2 separate regions of the Mus musculus genome follow, and region 2 is reported to be linked to region 1. Evidence: microRNA targets listed by miRTarBase, many of them from high-throughput screens and not tested one by one. Region 1 holds a microRNA gene; the other region holds the end of a gene's coding sequence. Distances are from middle to middle.
Evidence for each region. Region 1 holds the annotated microRNA mmu-miR-292a-3p (AAAGUGCCGCCAGGUUUUGAGUGU, at 841-864, shown strand). A microRNA usually pairs through its seed, bases 2 to 8, with sites in the 3' UTR of a target mRNA and lowers its output. Matches are read on the target gene's strand: a 7mer-m8 pairs with bases 2 to 8, a 7mer-A1 pairs with bases 2 to 7 and ends in A, and an 8mer does both.

Region 2: the mRNA of Pik3c2a is a reported target of mmu-miR-292a-3p. Seed matches in the 3' UTR shown: 7mer-m8 at 1,378-1,384.

The regions. Positions count from the first base shown.
Region 1 is chr7:3,218,398-3,221,522 of GRCm38, forward strand. Mir292 (microRNA 292) reads left to right here and starts at 792; the gene lies at 792-873. It overlaps Mir290a (microRNA 290a), which reads left to right and starts at 229; the gene lies at 229-311. Mir290b (microRNA 290b) reads right to left here and starts at 298; the gene lies at 241-298. D7Ertd143e (DNA segment, Chr 7, ERATO Doi 143, expressed) reads left to right here and starts at 387. Exons shown (of 1, transcript NR_028425.1): 1 at 387-2,618. It also overlaps Mir291a, Mir292b, Mir291b, Mir293, Mir294 and Mir295, and 1 more gene.
Region 2 is chr7:116,337,559-116,340,633 of GRCm38, forward strand. It overlaps Pik3c2a (phosphatidylinositol-4-phosphate 3-kinase catalytic subunit type 2 alpha), which reads right to left. Exons shown (of 33, transcript NM_011083.2): 33 at 1-2,665. The coding sequence ends at 2,483. The region is part of intron 1 of Gm10589 (a long non-coding RNA gene); the gene reads left to right. Among named protein-coding and RNA genes, the nearest start is that of Rps13, 4.9 kb to the left of the region's middle.

The DNA of each region.
Region 1 (3,125 bases):
GGACCAGAAACCAAAGCTAGGAGTTACTGAGGGCAGGTCTAGGGAGTCTATGCAGTACATTTCATTAACTACGTGGTTTCATTGTAGAAATTTTGAGTTTCACTATACCTTGAGTTAGACCGATGTACTAACTCTTCCTTGATTTCATCCAGGTTTCCTTCAGGTTGGAGTGAATTTTAAGTTCTCCACGTTCTTTCCTCCTGGTAAATGTTTTAACGTCTGGACCGCCTCATCTTGCGGTACTCAAACTATGGGGGCACTTTTTTTTTTCTTTAAAAAGTGCCGCCTAGTTTTAAGCCCCGCCGGTTGAGAAAACGGCTATCTGGCACATTTACCAGCCCTGGTGCCACGTGTTCCGGGTTAACTGCAGCGTGGTGAGTACGGATTCGAAGAAAGGAATGAGACTGAGTATAGCGAAAGGCTAGGGATGGGCATCCTGCCCAGTAGACGGTAACTGAGGTGGTCGTTGTAGGGTACCTGGGGGCTCCATGTGCGTCCTGTCGCTGCTTGGAGCTGTTACACCTATGTAGCGGCCATCAAAGTGGAGGCCCTCTCTTGAGCCTGAATGAGAAAGTGCTTCCACTTTGTGTGCCACTGCATGGGGAAAACATCATAGCTTTGCATCTGACGCATCGGTTTACAGGAGCGGACAACCTGTGTGGGGGTTTAGGCTTGGAGTTTAATGGGTCCTATCCTAAAGAGGGCGGTTCAGTTGGGTGCCACGAGACGCGGATGGATGTAAGGCAGTCGTGAGTCCAGGTGCATTGTAGATTGTTCTTAAGCTTGACCTCCAGCCTGTGATACTCAAACTGGGGGCTCTTTTGGATTTTCATCGGAAGAAAAGTGCCGCCAGGTTTTGAGTGTCACCGGTTGAGAACTCAAAACGGCTAAGAACTAAGAATTAAGTTTTAGTGGGTCATGTTTTCACTGGGGTTGCATTTCTGGGCAGGTGGGTGTCACATGTGGGTTTGAGTCCGAACACTTGGGCGCATGCGGTACTAAAGGCTTTCCGCGTTCATAAAGGAGCCGGGATCCCACATGGGCCTCGCTCGGAGGAGCTGAGCCTCAGGTCTTGGAAGTTGGAACATACAGTGTCGATCAAAGTGGAGGCCCTCTCCGCGGCTTGGCGGGAAAGTGCATCCATTTTGTTTGTCTCTGTGTGTACATGGCGTCTGAAAAGCCGGCTGCAGCTGCAACCTGGAATCGCTTACCTGCTTGAAACAGGTATGTGTGCTGGAGGTGAATTCGTTGCCACTGGCTACTCGAGCTGCAAGGCTGGAGGTGAGGAGGAAGCAGGGCAGGGTGGAAGGAGGCACTCCAGGTCCAGGGGTGGTGAGTCTAAGCCTCAGGTCTGAGTAAAGAAAGGCCTACTTTTAAATCTCACGTGGCCGCCATATTAAGTCCTCTTTCAATTTTTTTCCTTTTTCTCCAAACAGGGTTTCTCTGTAGCCCTGGCTGTCCTGGAGCTAACTCACTTGTAGACCAGCCTGGCCTCAGCTCCATCCACCTGGGATTAAAAGATCCTATATATCTTGCTTGACTACTGTAGTTGCTATATCTTGCTTGACTACTGTAGTTGGACTGATGGTTGTGAGTCTTGATATGGTTGGATTGAATTTTTAGGACCTGCTGGCTGTAGCTGACTTTAACCTGGCTCCTAGCACAAACAAGCTTGGTGGACAGCCGGGTAGATAATACCCATAATACCTTTTGGCTTTACAATAGCCCAGGCTCATGAGGGCTGGGATTACAGGTGTTACATTGTGTGCCCTAAGCATAATCTTCATGGATTCTCTTTGTTTTTCAGGTGTTCCAGTTGAGTTGAATGTAATCCTGCCTAGCCTGGGGTACTTACTTGCCTTCAACCTGCCTGGCTGGCTGGTCTGGCTAAGAACTGACTATAAAGTTTCAGGTTTATTACCACAGCAGGTCCCTGTGGAAATGCTTCAATCTGTGGTACTCAAACTGTGTGACATTTTGTTCTTTGTAAGAAGTGCCGCAGAGTTTGTAGTGTTGCCGATTGAGAAACTGCAGTTGGCCTAAGTGTTGCATCATTTGGGTGTCATCTGTGGGTATGATTCAGTCTGTAATGGGGCAAAAGTAAAAGCTGAGGTGCACGGAACCTCACGGGAAGTGACCCAGATTTGACAGGTACTGTATTACATATAGCTGCATTTATCCTTTTGGCATTGAATAATCCTTAATCTTCAGTTCAGTTGTAGGCATGTTTGGATCTAGCGAAATTCCATATAGCCATACTCAAAATGGAGGCCCTATCTAAGCTTTTAAGTGGAAAGTGCTTCCCTTTTGTGTGTTGCCATGTGGAGAAAGCATCGGAACTTCAATCAACCAGAGACTCCTTGCTTGCTCATCTTGGTGAGACTCAAATGTGGGGCACACTTCTGGACTGTACATAGAAAGTGCTACTACTTTTGAGTCTCTCCTGTGGGCACCATTCACAGGTCGGCTGCTTTCATGCATGTGTAGTGTGTATCTGAATCCAGATGAAGGTTTCCTGGAACTGGGACATGTGGGTGCTATTGAATGAACCAAGGTGCTATGGGAGCAACCAGTGCCCTCAGCCTCCAAACATGAATAATAAAGTCTTGTTCTCTTGATTTTGCTGCTTTCTCAGTTTTTGTTTTAAAACACCCGCCATGGTTCCTAGGGATAAAAAAAGCTTGCAAGCATGCAAGCACCCTTTTAATCACTGGGGTTGAGACTAAAGGTAATCCTGGGCTATACAGAAAAACCCTGTCTGAAAAAATCCCCAAAAGTTAAACCAACACATAGCTGGAAGTGTTTTCAACAGTAATAGGGCACCTTTTGGGAGACACCCCTGTTTGCCTCTTGGGATTTAGGCATGCCACCCCTCCAATGGTTTTAAGGAAGAATTACCCTGTACTAGCTTAAAGGTGCCTTTAAGCATAGCCACATTTAAGCCCACATTTGTTTATATACTGTGAGTCTTTTCCATTTCTATACATCATGGCCAGTTCCTTTTAGTGGAGTGTCTGGATGGTTACAAGCTAACCTGAAATGGGGTGGTGCCAGGTTTTAAAAAGTAGTGGGTTGGGGAGCAGGGTGTGGGGGAGGATATAGGGGACTTCTGGATAGCGTTTGAA
Region 2 (3,075 bases), 110 Mb from region 1:
TAAACAATTTAAGGCAAGATTTTGAACTTTATATACAACTTTAATTTGAAAAAAAAGTACTTAAAAAAGATACACATGCTTTAACAACTCATTCCCATAAACACAGTAATATAAAGCATTGGTGCCAGTCTCATTGGATTCCTCAGAGAAAACAGGTTCTTGGGATGAGCGATCATCTTCAGATCCTAGAGCACTGGCAAGAACAAAGAATTCTGGCACAGGACTTGTATGTAGCAGACTTATTTTTACTTGAAGGTAGTTATAAATATGATATACATAAACATTAGTGTCTTGGCCTGTCTAGCGTTCTCGTTTTCCGATGTATTTTAAGGTGACTGTTAAGAAGCTCTAGAAGCCAGCTGACTATGGTGACTGCAGCCGCAGTGCACAGAGGCTACGTTCTTCCTCCCTATCACTGTTTTTTTGGTATGGGCTGAAGATTAGCATTTTACAAAGAAATAACTTACATTAAAATATATGTATTCTAATGACCAAAGAAGGCACAAATTGAGTAAAATTAAGAGACAGTATCACCTTTTGAATTCTTGTTAACTATACAGTATTACTTATAATATATACTTTTAGATATTAATCAGATTTCTTGTCACTGAAGTGACATTACATTTTTAATTCTGTTTCTGCTAAGATACACGGTAACAGATCACAAAAAGGTCCACGAGTCCAGTCAATGACGACCTTTTACAAACAGCATTTTTTTAAGTCTGGGTGACCCATGGAATGGAATTAGGTTTCTCTCAAAAGAAAAAAAATATTCTAGTGCTACTTACATCTGCAAAACTATTTAAGGAAATGTTAATTGTGGAAAAAGCAAACAACGGTGCTTAGATCTTCATTTCAATTATCAAGTAGACAACACAGTTTAATATAAAAAATTCACATACTCATACAGGTTTCCCTACAAATGGACCATAGTGTTAGGCACCAAATATTTCAAGTTTTGATTTTTTTTAAAAAATGTATTCCAATGATAACACTCTTAACTCTTAATTTAACTCTGTAAGCATCATCATTTCTGTCAATCACTTTGTACAGTTCATAAAAATTTTATTCTAGCGAACTGAATCCGATTGTCCTTTCTTGGTACCCTTCATTAAGTAGTTTGTCAGTTTTCTCTTAACTACCAAATTTGCTACATCTCTATTACCTTTCTAAAAATATTTGAACTTCTAACCAAGAAATTTATTATATATACATGTTTATCAAAACTAAACAAAATTATGTCTGAAATGGGGAATAAAAATGAATCTTTTTTTATTTTTTGAGACAGGGTTTCTCTGTGTAGCCTTGGCTGTCCTGGAACTCACTCTGTAGACCAGGCTGGCCTCGAACTCAGAAATCCGCCTGCCTCTGCCTCCCAAGTGCCGGGATTAAAGGCGTGTGCTACCATGCCTGGCTTTAAAAATGAATCTTATTCTTAATGGCTACTCCACAGTAACTTCACACTTCTCTCTTGCAATTTTCATTTCAGTATATTACAGAAAATAATTCTTTCATGTGAATGTACAATGTTTCCAAATACAGGACAGTTTACACAACACCTTCCATAAATGTCTAAATTAAACTCCTTATCCTGCCTGAGCACGTTACCAAACAAAATAGGGAATAAGGCTGAACAATTTCCATTTGTTTAATGAGGGAGTAAAGTATAAATACATGGAAGTGAAACTCCAATTTCAGTTCACACCCTTACAAATGATAATGGAATGATAGAATTTAGAATACTAATTTTGAATATCAATCTCATTCAATTACGGGGCAATAAACATTAAGTTAAATAGCTTAATAGTGAAAACAACCAGAAGTAGAGGAAATAGTATTTCTGTGGAGAAACCATTAGTAAATGTGCATGACTTGCTGTCCTCAGTAAGGTGAAAATGCATGAAAACTACTTGCTCTTTAATCAGAAGTAGAGTGCCAGTGAAGCATGTAGTTAAGTAAGGCACTGTTATTTACAACTTCAGTCATTGGCACTTACTCTGAAAAGGCTTTAACAATGAATAAAAATCGTATTTTTTTCTATTCTATAAACGACTTAGTAGTTCTCAGCATTCTGACTACTATTTGTGCTTTGCGTTTCAGCCTGTTGAGTAGCAGCTGCATCTTTCCTTTGGTGTCTGTGAACATACACAGTGGTAAAGGCTGTGAGGTGCATAACAAAAAACAATTTGCTGTGTCTGTGTAGGAAGAGTACAGACAAGGTGACCAAAATGACACAGTATTATGTCAAAGTCTTTTTCAGGACTTAGTATATATTAAGTTTGGGATTGGTAGCACTCAACAAAATAACTTTGAAATAGCAATGGCTTCTATAAAAGTTAGTCATATGACTGACAGTTGGTCCAACATGTTAAGTTTATAATTTCTGCCAAAGTATGAAATTATACAAAGTTCCCAAGTGTGTGTATGTGCGCATGCGCACACATTTATAACTCCTTGTTTCCAAAGCTCAGAAGTCGGAAGTTTATAGATACGTTGCCGCAGTCAGCTGATACCACTTAACTGTCTCTTTGCTCAAGTTGAAATCTTTCAGTGGCAGGGTTATTCCACCCAAGAAGAAATTCTCCCGCAGTGATTCTGCACTGAGTACACTCAGTTGAAGTTCTCTCTGCCTCAGAGTTTCTTTGCTGTATCCACTATATACAAGCTAGAGGAGGGGAAAAAGGATAAGGATTGGTTTCTTGGAATCTTTTCAACAAAATGTAAGACATCAGTCAAAAAGTGATGCAATGAATGGCACTGACTAGAGCAGCAGAAGCATGCTTTTAACTTCTGGTCTGTCAGTGTTTAACTCAGACACTGGGTAAAGTAGGACCAATCACTGTCAAAAAACAGATCCCCAAACTCTCAGTCATGGTTTCTGTGAGCTGGAGTGACGGGGAAAGAAAAAGAAATTACCTGGTGATTACCTTAAGGTGATCTAATCGCTGGAGAAAAAAAAAGAGGATAGATGGAAAGCAAGTTTGATAATATAATTTTAAAATTATCTTCCAAAAACAGATTAAAATTCCATTTTCTTCTTTCTTTTTTTTTTTTGGTTTTTGAGACAGGGTTTCT